Linked DNA regions of Astyanax mexicanus. Each later gene encodes a partner of the first gene's protein in a complex. Links are inferred from orthologs where the notes say so. Each region holds a gene or a part of one and is shown in the gene's direction. Other genes may lie near its edges.

What was found. Proteins that work in one complex are often made in the same cells at the same time.
Region 2: the proteins of gnao1a (region 1) and adra2a are in contact, whole or in part, in a cryo-EM structure (PDB 7W6P), measured with the Homo sapiens proteins. The link is inferred for Astyanax mexicanus from reciprocal best matches to the Homo sapiens genes GNAO1 and ADRA2A. Residues at the interface, in NP_066268.1 of Homo sapiens: Ile28, Lys32, Lys193, Asn194, Leu195, Asp218, Phe336, Thr340, Asp341, Ile343, Ile344, Ala345, Asn347, Leu348, Gly350, Cys351, Gly352, Leu353, Tyr354; in NP_000672.3 of Homo sapiens: Arg77, Arg146, Ser149, Ile150, Ala153, Ile154, Asn157, Leu158, Arg160, Pro162, Ile234, Ala238, Arg241, Arg383, Arg386, Phe387, Val390, Leu391, Phe444, Asn445, His446.

The regions. Positions count from the first base shown.
Region 1 is NC_064416.1:26,265,326-26,272,249, forward strand, and holds the start of gnao1a (guanine nucleotide binding protein (G protein), alpha activating activity polypeptide O, a), read left to right. Parts: upstream 1-3,921; 5' UTR 3,922-4,440; coding exon 4,441-4,558; intron 4,559-4,841; coding exon 4,842-4,884; intron 4,885-6,924. UniProt on the Homo sapiens protein: Guanine nucleotide-binding proteins (G proteins) function as transducers downstream of G protein-coupled receptors (GPCRs) in numerous signaling cascades.
Region 2 is NC_064430.1:22,226,211-22,233,136, forward strand, and holds the start of adra2a (alpha-2A adrenergic receptor), read left to right. Parts: upstream 1-3,917; 5' UTR 3,918-6,395; intron 6,396-6,591; 5' UTR 6,592-6,769; coding exon 6,770-6,926. UniProt on the Homo sapiens protein: Alpha-2 adrenergic receptors mediate the catecholamine-induced inhibition of adenylate cyclase through the action of G proteins.

The DNA.
Region 1 (6,924 bases):
TGTACTCAAAATCTCCCAATGATTGGGCCACCACTTTATTCCTCACTTTTATATAAAGTGAAGATTAAAAGTCTTGAGTGGTAACATACTTGACTGGCTGACATACTTGTTTTGGTCTAAAATAAAAAGTATATGCCTGACATTCCAAAAGCATATAAAGAATATTGGGATAGCAGTATATAAAGTACATTAATCATGAAGTGATACTTAAGGGGACGATTTGAGAACACCCAAACCTGTACACATTTTGAGAGGTGAAGCTGAATGCTGAAGAATTATTCTTTCTCATCCACTCTTTTTTAAAGCTCTTGGTGACAAAGAACTGAAGTGAGGTATTTGCATTTTTTTGGGCTAATTGGTAGAGAGAAGGGGCAAAATGGAATTGGCCCTAGAACACCTGTTCTGTGAGAAGTGTGGGGATCTAACAATTAAGGAGGTGAGTCTAGAACCGTCTTTGGTCTCTGCTGTGCAGATTCTGGGTACAAACTTATTGGGCTTAACTTTGAACTTAAGTTATCTGGCTAAACAAAGAAAAATCCTGCTCTATTAAATATCTATTAAAGTCCAGAAATGGAAAACACTGATGTACTGTTTATTCTTATTCATAGGAAGCCAGGCTGGATCACAGAGACAACTCATATGGATCCATTTTATTAATTGCATTCAAATGTTTGTCATTGTCTGGACCGAATAACCTCACCAATCAGTCATTTTGATGTTTTTAGCAAGGTTTGCAAACGACAGAAAAATAATGATCTTCGTTTTAGTAATTTCATCACTTTTATTGCAGTGTCTTGCAAAAACGGAATACCTCGCTCCAGAAAGGCCCTGAAAACTTAATAAGCAGTCAGCAGTTAGCAGTCAGGTGTTTAATGTGGGTGTCAGGGCCAGTACAATGTGAAACGTTCAGCGTAATGTGAGGTGATTAACCAAAGTTTCCTATTCTTCTGAACTGCATTCAGCTTTTGCTCTGAATCAGGGTGTCAAATGTTTATTTTAACCTTTCTTTCACTCATTATCTGCAAACTGTGTAACTGGGTCATGTGAAACATTCATTGCAGATATGTTTTTAGATGTTTCACTTTCTACACTGCAGAACTGGCTTGATTCCAAAAAGCAGGCTGACATTTAAATGAACAATATGTACTTAACTACAGCAAGCATGCAAAATGCTAAAAAAAAAAAAAAAAAAAAAAAAAAAAAAAGTACCTTAGGCTGATTTTAATTTATTGGAGGGAGCTGTCTGTCCCACCGCCTCCTCCCCAGATTGTGGTGTAAGAACCTTGCTACAGGTGCATCTGGTTATCCTTGGGGATTCCTAAGGAAATGGCGGCCATTTAGCTCCGGTTCTTGAAGATTCTTCGGGGGTCCGGATTTACTACAGGATGGGAGGGAACTCCTTTCTGGAACACCTGTGGGAATGAAAAGATTTAAGTTAGAGTTAAAGGTACAAAAAATATGTGATAATGCTTACCATTCAGAGACATGTCTTAAAGTATGTACAGCTGTAAATAATGCTGACATTAATATGTGTGTGTGTGTGTGTATGTATGTATGTGTGTATACTTTACAGTTACCCCTACCTGTAACATTGGTATGGTCTAATTAGAGAAGAGGCGGGGCTACAGGTTTAAAGGGCAGGTAGAGTCACCTGTAGAAGAATCTACCAAATTGAAGCTGTTGTGAGCCAGTCAAACTGTTGGGGGCTTTACAGACCTTACTGTAGTGCTGAGAGTCAGGATCAATTTTGTGTTTGGGACTGATATTTAAGGGGCAAGCGTTTACTAGTTAGCAGAGTGCTATATTTATGGACTATATTTGACCCCAGATTTTTTTTGTCAATTGTGAACATTTATTAAAATAGCTTTGGTGTTGGAACTGACCTGGAGGTATTTGAGCTTTTCTTGTCCTGTTGGGAAATGAAAGCTGCATCTCTATAAAGCTTGTCATTGGAGGAAAGCATGAAGTGCTGCTCTAAATTGTTGAATTTGTTTAAGTTTTTGATTATATAATTTTTTTTAGATGCACCCGATTAACAAACAAAATCAGTTGTACTGTGTAAGTTTATTTGCTAATGTAAACCCTTAAAGTGTCCAAAGTTTCCAACGTTATGCCAATTTTTACTTGCATAGAGGCAGCAGCACACTGTGGCCCAATCCAATTTCTAATATGTACCCCTAGCCCCTGTTTCTAAGTGTAACTCCTCCCCTTCCCCTGTAATTAGTTTTTATTTGCTTTTCTTTCCCTATTTCCATCTTAAATGCTGTAGCCCCTGTCATCTGTTGCACCATTTATGTTGAAAAAGAAAATTTAGCTAGATAGCAAATGAGACAAACTATTAGCAATAGTTTATGAATGTTATAAAGAAAATGCCCATACAACACTCAAACTACACATTAAGCAATGATGGTTAATATAGTGGTTACAGTCGATTTTACATCCCTCTATTTTAAGTGTACCTCTAAAAAATCTATGTTTGCCTGAGACACTGTTTTGCCTGAGTTTTAACAAGATTGTGGATGTGAAACGTGTGAAATACTTTAAATTTGATTTAATTAAAATATTGGACAAATATATGCAGGACTTTGTACAAGTAATAGTCCCCACAGACAAGGCCTGTCCACACAAATTCAGATATTTTTTAAAACAGTACTGCAAAGCTACAGACAGACTGTGTTGTTTTGGTGCTTCAGCTGAAATGGAAAAGAAGTCTGTGGGTTTTAAAGCCACAGGAGTAAACACTTGTACATAAGATAATATCTGCATCAGAAAAAGAAACAGATTTCAATTTTATCTTGGACAATTCAGCAAAGAATAGATTATCGAACCAAGCTAAAGCACTGCTGTAAAGATAGGCCAGTGATTTAACTTTAAGGATTTTTTCCTTAACATGTGATGCCACAGATATAATTTATTGGGTTAGTGGTGAAAATACAAATACTACATATTGGTCCTTTAAACTAACTTCACCTAATTGTCTGCAAACTGTGTGTCTGAGTCCTGTAAAATAATACATACATATTCGTTCTTTTATTACTATAAGCTGTTTCACTTTCACCACCACAGCTGAAGTGTCTGTATTTCAGAAAGCATGCTGACATTTAAACGCTGCCTCACATGAGAGTGGAGGGAGGATGTGACGAAGGCAAGATGGCCAGCTGTTGAATTTGACGCTTTTGCTCGGATTTATTTATTTATTTGTTTGTTTCGTGTGTTGATTTTGCAGGTCATTAGCATTAGCTCTGCTGTTGGCCACACCTTGTCGTGATTCCTCTCTTCCTCTCAGTCGCTCTTTCGCTCTAAATCGGTCAAACGCGTTGATTTAGTGACCAGCTAGTGAACACAATGCTCCTTACTGCGAATCTGTGGGGCTTGAGGGGCTAATTTTTTCTTCTTCTGTATCTTTGTACAGAAGAAAACCTTGGTGCAGGATTTTTAGCTTAGCGTTTATTTAACGAACGGGGATGCTGCTCGCGCTCGCTCTTCAGTTCTGACGTCACTGTGGAGGATACGGTTTTTTCGTTTCCCACCTGTTTTCGTTTTTCATTTTTCTCGCTCTATCCTTTGCCTTTTTCTGATTGGTTATTCTTCTCGGTTTTCTGAGCTATACGATTGGCTGTCTGCTCTGACAAGCAAATGTCAAAGCCTGGCTCAGCTATACATATTAGTGTGAAAGAAAGACCAGCCAATCCCGACGCTTAAACCGCTGTCCAATCACAGCACGGGGGAGGCGGGGCTTGTCGGAAAACGGGCGGGAAAAAGCAAGGGGAGGTTAAAAAAAAAACAAAAAAAAAACACGTAACTAACGTGCTCGGCGCGCGCGCTCCCGCTCGCTCTCTCGCTCGCGCGCTCTCTCTCTCTCCTCGCTGACCCTCCATTGTGAGCAGAGCTAAACGATGCTAGCAGCCGTCGCCGTCTTCGCCTCCGCCTCCACCGCCACTACCGCCGCTGCTGCCGCCGCCGCCCAGTAGAAAAGGACAGATAGAGCTAGATAGATAGACCCCCTCCCCTCCACCGCTCCCCCTCCGCCCGAGGAACCACCGACACGACCAAGAGAGACGGAGAGCCGAGCCGGTTCACCTACAGCAGCAGCAGAAGCAGCTCCTTATACAGCTAGGTTAGGTTATCTCCACCAGGCTGCGTGTCTTCGTGTCGTTTTGCGGGATTTTTCTGCTTCTTTTAATGCTATAGCTAGAGCCGTCGTTGTGAGTGAGCGAGTGAAAGAGAGAGTGTGAGTGAGAGAGAGAGAAAGAGGGAGAGAAAGAGAGAGAAAGAGAGAGAGAGAGAGCGCTAGGAGAGAAAGGTAGAGGAGATAGATAGGGAAGAAATCTCGAGGTGAAATAAAAAATAAACCACGGAGTGCTCGCTCGCTTCCCCCCCTCGCACGTCGCTTCTCGCCGGTTTCGGAGCTGAAAGAAAGAGCCTGCGGTCCGCCTAGTCATGGGATGTACACTGAGCGCCGAAGAGAGAGCGGCTCTGGATAGGAGCAAAGCCATCGAGAAAAACCTGAAAGAGGATGGAATCACTGCGGCCAAGGATGTCAAACTGCTGCTGCTGGGTAAGGCTGGTTAACGCACCTTCTCTTTTCTCCCTCTTTACTGGGTGGATGGATGGGTGGGAGGGTGGGAGGGAGTGGACCTAGTCTCTAATCTTTAGTCTTTGCTCAGAGATCAATCTGACGTTAACATAATTAACCTCACCTAGCTAAGTTACATATCGTTCTCTATATGCGGCTACACGTTTATAATTTTAGGATTTATCCTGATTTCATGTTTTTTTTTTTTTATAATATTACCATATAACTACAGTCCTGATTCCCTCCTGTCTCTTGTGTCTTACAGGAGCTGGGGAGTCTGGTAAAAGCACCATCGTGAAACAAATGAAGTAAGTGCCATGGTGTAAATCAGATTTCTCGGTTTTTAAAGTGTGTGTGTCTTGGACGCGAGCATGCGCGCGCACACACAAGCATATACACACACAGTCACGCAAAAAAAAGCTAGTTAGCTAGCCTACATGCACGCAAACATTTTTTAGTAGCTTGCCTAGGTTAGCTAGCTAAGGTCCGCCATATTATGAAGAATGTCACACATTCACTGTATGTACTAGGTTAACTAGCTAGTTAGCTAACCGATCGACGCGCCTGCTCGGCTCGGTTTGGGGGGAGGAAACGCCTGCCTGGCTGCGGTCGGTCGTGCTGTTCGGTATAACATGGTGCTGAAGCCGAGCCGCTCTCACTCACTGTAACCAACAGAGTTAGGGTTGGGCGATATGGCCAAATTTTTGTCTTTGGTCTCAATGAGTGACAACATTTCAGTCTATACAAGCAGTTAAAAGCCACAGAAAACAAATACATAAAACGTAACGTTAGCTAGCTATGGAACCTGTGAACTCATGAAAAATGGATTTGCCTATTTCTGTAGTTAATGAACGTCAGTGACAGATGCAGTAAATTATCCAACGATAGCTTAACCCTATATATTAAAATGCTAGACATGTAGCTAGCTAATCTAGTTATTTAAAATCATCATACCACCATTATTGACACATTTTCTTTATATGTATGTTGATATTAAATAATTGTCCATCCCTTTAGCTAACTATGTAACTACTGCAGCCTGTACATTATTATCTCGGGGCCACACCATTCTGCTGTACAAACGCTAGCTTAGCTAGGTTAGCTAAACTATTCTACTAGCTAGGAGCTAGTATTTGTACACTTTAGCTGACTAGGTTAGCTATATGGCCATGTCTTTCTGTTCCTTTTCAAGCTTTTTGCGTTTTATGTAAAATACAGGGTGGGTAGCTAGATAGGTTAGCTAGGTTAGCTAACCTAACCTAGCTGACCTAGCTAGTTAGCTTACTAGCTAGAAGTTCATTTAAATGATGTACATTTTAGCTAGCTAATTAGCTATATGGCCATGCCTTTCTCGTCATGTTTAAGCTTTTTGCGTTTTGTGTAAAAGACAGGGTGGGTAGGTGTGTGTGCGTGTGCCTCGTTCTGTAGCCTGATATCACACAGAGAGGCTTCTTAGCTAGTTAGCTTGCTAGCTAGTCTATTGCTGAGATTTATCCTAGCTAGGTTAACTACTATTTTTGATGCATTAGCTTGTGTATTCAACAGCCTAAAGCCCTTTCTGACTGTACATTGCATTATTACAGTTTTGCTCTCATTTAACGTTAGTTTAATTGGAGCAGAACTCACTGTGGTATGTAATTGACAAGATCCTCATCATAATTCTGTGTAACGTTATCTATGTATAGTTGCTATGATTGGCTTCCATATTCAAGGTGAACCGTACAGCAGCAGGCCTTCTAGTGATTGTGGGTTGTGGGTTATGTAGCGTTAGCTATGATTTGAGCGAATCATGCACACACAGAGAGAAATGGGGGTGGGGAGGTGGTGGCAAGGCTGGGGGGCGGTGGAGGTGGGAGGGGGATGGTAGCTAGCTAACACCCTAACTTGGTGTTCACTCGGCCATTTTTATTTTTCACGCAGCTATCACACCCAAACTGAGCCCCGCACAGATCGCGTTTTGTGCGTGTACAGTGCACTAGCCCCCAGCTCTTTATATATACAGAAGAGCCGTCCAGTCGTGCTCTTTTTCTCTGTCATATACGGGCCTGTTAATGCTGTGCTGCTGCTGCATTACCGTGGCGTGTCCAGTGCACATTATAAATCCTGTGTAGCGCAGTGAGCTGGAAGGTGGACGGTCAGATCGCGGCAGTGTATCGTTGTGTTCAGATGTCTGGCTGGTAGATGTTTAGGGTGCTGTGATTGTGCGGATATAGCGGCTCGGCTTAGCGCTCTGCCCCGAGTCTCGAGTGTTAAGATAAACCTACCATTTTCCACTCGGATCTGAATCCCTCTAGACCGCGACAAACGGGGGCGTTTTATACCCGTGTTTCAGCGCTCCCCCCTGTGTG
Region 2 (6,926 bases), on another chromosome or scaffold:
TGTGGTCATCCATCTTCCTCTTGATTATATTCCAGAGGTTTTCTCATTATTTTCAAGTGCTCTCTTATTTTTTCCAGAGCTGTATGTACTATGCAGTGTGTACTACTTTCAGTACGGTGGTTGTGAATGTGGTTTGGGACGCAGCCTCGGCCTGTTGCGTGGTGCGGTGCATGGTATAAGTGTGTGGTTTTGGACGCAGCAGTAAACTCTATAAGACCGTACCGTACTGTACAGATGAGAGTACTATTTAGACGTGTTGCTGAGTATGGCAGTATGTGGTTTGGGACGCAGCCGTAGTAACTTCAGTTTTATGGTGCTCTGTGTGAGGTTCTAGTTTGTGTGCTTGTGTTCCTGGTGGCCGGAGATGTGCACTCCAGCCGAGTGCTCTAGGCAGTACAGAAGTTCATACTGGAACGCAGCCCGATTTTTAACTTTACCAAACTTTTTATCCTTCAGTTTCTTTTCCATCCTTGCTAAAACTAGTGCACACTATTTACGACTCTCGATACGTTTTTATTATTTTCCTTCTTTTTTCTTTTTTTTTTAAATGCACTTTGTAAATGAATTGTGGCGTCCTGCTCGACTTTATTAAGGGGGTCGGCTCCGATGTTTCTGATTTTAAGGCATTTTTAATCTGATAGTGTGTGTAAGTATTTTATGCTTTATTTGATCACTCTATCAGGTTATGGTTTATCTTGTTGTCAAATGAATACGATGAGTTTTGCCTCAGCAGATTTAAATGGGGGAAAAAAAGCAGAAATTTCTTTTTATTCTATCAACCCTTTTATTAAATATTTTTGATTTTAAGCCGTACGTCTGAAAAGTCTGTTTGGTGTGTGTTTATGTAATTTTATTTTTTAAGAAAAATCCCATATCTTCGGTATTATTATAACTGCTTTGTTTTGCAAAGTATTGAATTTTGAATTTGCGACCCTCGATGTTTGACGAATGTCTTTTTGTTTTATCCTTTTTTTTATAAGAATGAAATTGTCTTCATACTGTGCATTTTACAAAAGAAGAAGAGTCCCACTCCTTTATCTATTCATCAGCCAACCCTTCTTTTTTTAAGCCTTTTAAAAGTGTCGTCACGACTGTACTGTTTTTCTTTACTCTCTTTACTTGCTTTCATTTTCCGGGAGGAGTCCGCGGCGGCGACAACAGCATCGGTCCACGACGGGAAAGGGCACAACCTGTCTCTGCGTTCATGGACATTTCATATATATGTATACACAAATATATACACACACACACACACACACACACACACACACACACACGAACACAAACATAAAAACGACGCTGTAAAACAACGCTCCCCAGCAGAGACAAAGAGCTACACGACCAACCCGGCGCAAAAAACTCGAGCCTGGCGTTAAAAAACAGCAGCAGCACAGACTGAAGAAGAAAAACTAAAAAACAAACAAAGACTTTAAAAAGTAAACAATTGTAAAAAGGGCTTTTTTCTGTTCCCGCTTGCCGATTCGCCAGAGGCATTCCTGGTTTTGTATAAAAGCTTAGAAAAGGAAAAAACAGACCTGTACATTCACGAGTTCCTCTTTTGTGTAACTGCAGTTAGCTGTTGGCGAAATGGAGTTCTGGTTCTGATTATTGTTCAGTGATGATAATAATAAATGCCTTCGAGTTGTTGGAGTGAAACGTGCATTAGGAACACAGCAGCACGGCCGTGTCCCGATCCGCATCCATGTTCCCTTTTCTTTCTTTTCTTCCTCCTTTTCCATGTTAATGTGCCATTCCTGAGGGGCTTTCTGAGGGAGGCGGGAGTGAGGGATGACGGAGGAGCGTTTATCAGAAAATCAATAAAGGAGAGAAGGAGCGGGTCGTCAGCTCACCTGCAGACTCTGTGATTATTCTTACTCTTCAGTGTGTGGAGTGGATTTACTCTTTTACTGATGGAGAAAAAGTGAAGATTTTATATCTGTAAAAAAATAACTTTTACTTTTCTGAAGAATCTCTAAATCAGATACTACTGACCTTAAACTGGAGCATCTCTCGGTACCACTTTAAAATAAGACTACCTTTATAAAGGGTTTATCTCACCCCTGTATCTCTTCTCTCTCTTTCTATCGCTCCCTCTTAACCTCTCCCCTCTATCTCTCTCCCCACTATCTCTACCTCTCTTTTCCCTCTCTATCTCTCCCTCCTTCCATTCCAATATTTATATCATTCTAATTCCTCTTTTTCATTCTTCCATTCTCTCAATTTTTGTTGACTCTTCTGTTCTTTCTCAAACTTTCTCCCTCCTCCATTCATTCACTCCTCTTAATCTTTAGTTCTCTCTTCCATTCTTTAACTTTTTCATTTTATTTTCCATTTTTTCTTGCGCATTAATCTTTACACATTCGTTGTTTCATACATTTGCCTTCCACCTCTCTCTTATTCTCTTTTATTCAGTTTTCTATTCTGTTCATTTTCTCTCACTTTTAGACACTTTTGTAAGAATTAAACTGTGAACTGAAGTGTAGTGAGGTTGTGGCTGGATCAGAACATCAGGCTGGTCTTGTGGTCACTGTTCACCACAGCTAGTGATCCAGCAGGTAATTGGTGCCAAACCCCCACTGATCTACCACTCATATCCCCCTATAGCTGGAGGGTTATTGTTGATGTTCAGCACAGGCGTCTGTTAGCTGTTGTGTAAGAGCTGTATGGTCGCTGCGCTTTCCTCCAGAGTCTGGGCTGGATACTCTGTGATGCTGCAGCAGCAGGTGAAAAGATGCGGAGTCTGACTTCACAGGATTGGAGGAGGCGTGTGCTGGTCTTCACCCTCCTAGTGATGGAGGAAGCTCCAGTGAGTGGGTGGGGTAATTGACCTTCTAAATTGGGGACAAAATAAGATAAAATTAGAAATAAGTAAAAAATAATAATTTGTGCATTTACATTTTTTTATTATTATTATTTAGCTGTTTACATGAAAATATATATATATATTAAGCTATTTCCACATGTTCAGAAACTGTCCACCCTTCCGTCTTAGAGTAACTCCGCCCCTTTATACAGGTAACCTTTAACATAAATGAAATCACAACATTCATAATATTATATTTTCAAGAAGCTGAAGACACTGCTGCATGTTCAGCAATTAATAATATTAATTGAACTAAATATTGATCATATTGGCTTTGTATTAGCGGAGAGAGGGCTGTCCACCCTGTCGTAGTTAAATATGAAGGTAATTAAAAGAATTGTAGGAACTAAAATACCAATATCAGTAAAATTGCCCTCCCTGTTGTACAGTTTTCCATAAAAGGATGAATGCATTAAGAACAGAAAAAAAGTTAAAATAAAAAATAATTAAGCTGCAAAAGATGTTTGTGTGTATTATAAAGTCTTATAAATATGCTAAACAAGTTTAAATGTGTAGGTAAATCTGCACATGTAGTAAACAAAATTAAATATTACAAATAATGTGTATTTATAATAAATATGTATGTCTGAAAATGGGGGCATTTATTGGCAGTTTTTCTTTACATTGTGTTAAATGACACGATGGATGGACTAAAAGAAATTCTCCAAAATGACCCAACAATTTTTTGTTACTTAAATTATTTGTATTATTATATTGTTAAATATGTGTGTCACACCTGTTTGTATATATGTGTAATGTTTGGTTATATATGGCTACGTATAGGTCCCATACTTGAAAATATCAATTTGATTTAGTTAGTATATATGTTACATATGCTTGAATATGGAAGTATATTTTGGATACGATTTGTATTTGTTTATATCTATATGATGTCATTTCTGTTATGTATTGTCATATAGCAGATCTCTGTGGGTCAGGAATGCTGTAACTCAGTGCTGCTGTAATGCAGGCAGTGGCCGGCAGGCGGCGCTGTGTGCTTGTGCTGCAGGTCTGCTGTCGGTAATATGAGCAGCTCGTTCTGAAACACGGGTTCGGTTTAATATTGTTTCCAGTGTAAACAGAGCGAGTGTTTGATGTTCAGGGCAGAGTTTGCTGTAGAGGCTTTTATATTTCATTAATTCAATTTGTTTCCTACAGCAGCCTCCCCCAGGATCATGCAGGCTGCCACAGATTTCTACAGGATCCTACAGGTTACTACAGAATCCTACAGGTTCATGCAGGCTGCCACAGGTTTCTACAGGTTACTACAGGATCATGCAGGCTGCCACATATTCTTACAGGTTACTACAGGATCCTACAGGTTCATGCAGGCTGCCACAGGTTTCTACAGGTTCTTACAGGATCCTACAGGCTCTTACAGTCTCCTACAAGTTTTCACAGAAATCTAAAGGTTCCTACAGTCGTTACCAGGTTCCAGCAGGTTTTTCACAAGCTCTAAAAGGTTCCCACAGGTTCCTAAAGGTTTTATCAGGCTTTCACATTTTCCTACAGGCTCCACCAGGTCCACATAATCTTTACCAGGCTCCCACATGTTCTTACAGTCTCTATCAGACTCCCACAGATTCCTACAAGCTTACAAGCGTTCCTAAAGGATCCTACAGGTTCTGACAGGCTCTACCAGTTTCCTACAGGCTTTAACAGGTTCCTACAGGCTCTACCAGGTTACTACAGGCTTCCACAGGTTCCTAAAGGATCCGACAGATTTCTACAGGTTCTGAAAGGCTCCTACAAGTTTCCAAAGAAACTACAGGTTTCTGCAGGCTGCCACAGGCTTGAGCAGGCTCCCACAGGTCCCTACAAGTTCCCACATGTTTCTACATGCTGAATTAAACTCCTGCAGTTTCCTACATGCTATAACAGGCTCCTCCAGGTTAGATATGCAAGAAGTATAGAGGGAGAGAGGAGAGACTAAGGAGAAGTTTTGGGGGAGTAGCATCAGAAACAAAGGAGAAAAGTTTGAAGACTTAAAGAAAAACAATGGTTATGAAGAGGAGAGAAATTAATAAAGAGGAAGCAGTAGGAGGTAGAGAGGAGGAGAATTAAAGAGTAGGAGTTGTTAAAGAGGAGCAGGTATAGGCCATAGGACAATAGTGAGAGATGAGGAGGAGGTGAAAGAGGAGAGTAAAAGAGCAACAGTATGAAGTGAAAAGGAGGAGAAATAAAGGAGTAGTAGTAGAAGGAGGAGATTTAATGAAGAGGTTCAACAATAGAAAACAACCAACAGGAGAAGAAGAGTTAACGGAGCAGCAATAGGAGGAGGATCAATAGCAGAGAAGAGTTGAGGAGCAACATTGGGAAGCAAAGAGGAGGAGAATTAATTAGGTGGAGAGTTGAGGAGTAGGTGGGGTTGATGAGGAGGAGCAACAGAACAATAACAAGGAAAGTGAGAAATGAGGGGAATTGATGTTGATGGAGTGTATGATGAGGAGAGTTGAAGAAGAGCAACAGTAAAAAGCGAAGAGGAGCAATAGGAGAAGGGAAGTAGATGATGAAGAGCAGTAATCAGTAGCAGAGATGCACGTAAAATGAGGAGAAGAGATTATTTGTAGGAGGAGGAGAGTTGAGAAGCAAAATTGGGATGCAAAGGGGAGGAGAATTAATGAAGTGGAAAGTTGAGAAGGTGGGGTTGATGATAAGGAGCAACAGGTGGAGGAGATTTGTTAAGGAGAAACTGATGATGAGGAGCAGTGAAAGTTTTCATGAAAGAGGAAAGGAAAGCCAAAGAGGAGCAAAATATTAGGAGGTAAAGAGAAAGACAGTTTATGAGGAGGAGCAACAATAGTAGAATGAGGAGGAGGAGAAGAGTTGAAGAGCAACAATGGGAAGCAAAGAGGAGGAGAATTAATGAAGTGGAGAGTTGAGGAGTAGGTTGTGTTGATAAGGAGCAGCAACAGGTGGAGGATCAATAGCAGGAGGAGATTTGTTAGGGAGGAACCAAAGAGGAAGGGAAAGCCAAAGAGGAGCAAAATATTAGAAGGTAAAGAGAAAAACAGTTTATGAGGAGGAGCAGCAGAAAGTTGACGAGGAAAAGAAACAATAGGATGAGGAGAGATAAAGCGAGGGTGTAGCAACAGCAGGATGAGGAGAAGAGAGTAGGAGGAGGAGGAGCTGATGATGATGATGATGATGATGAAGGAGTGTAGTGCTCTGAAACCCTCATGTATTTTTCTTGGTTCCCACGCGCTCCTGCTCCAGGCTGGTGTGGCGGAGGGAGTGGTCGACACACAGAGAGAAGAGGAAGTGCATTACGCACACACCGACTTTCTCTCTCTCTCTCTCTCTGTTTCTCTCACTCTCACACACAGGCGCACTGTTGCACACACAGCAGGCTAATGTGATTAAACAGACCCAGACGCGGCGCGAGCGGCTCTGAAGGCGACTGAGCGTAAAGTGAGAGCTGCAGCCGGGTTCTCGTTTACAGCTCTGAGTGATTTTACTGTTTGTTTGTTTTTTTTTTTCTTATTTTCTACTCTGGATCATCAATCAAGTTCTGCTGGATTGATTTGAGCTGGTAAGCTTTAATCTTATTTACTTTAATCCTTTTTAGAGCACTACTGTTCACTCAGAGCACCAGCAACCAGCACGGTTCCTGTAGTTTAAGTTTGTTTTTAACAACCTCTTCTAAATTCTGAAATGCCTTAAATTAATTCCAGTAATTCCAGTGGGTTGTTTATTTATTTATTGTTCTTATTATTATTTATTTTCAGGGTCAAGCAATATCCCAAAGTATTATGCGGTCTCTCCAGTGCTCAGAGTCCTGTAACGGCGTGGAGGGAACACTCTCCAGCATGAACTGAACACCCACCTGTTTTTATATTGTGCTTTATTTTGTGGACTCGACACCACCTGTGATCCAAACCAAGACTGATGTAAAAGCTCTCAGCTATGGGGTGTGAAAATATGACCATTGCAATGGAGGGCGGAGGGGCGTCACCCTTGATGCAGGCGTCACTGGTGGTGCTTGTAGTCCTGCTCTTCCTCCTGACTGTTTCTGGTAACCTGCTGGCGGTGATCGCCGTGTTCACCAGCCGGGCGCTGAAGG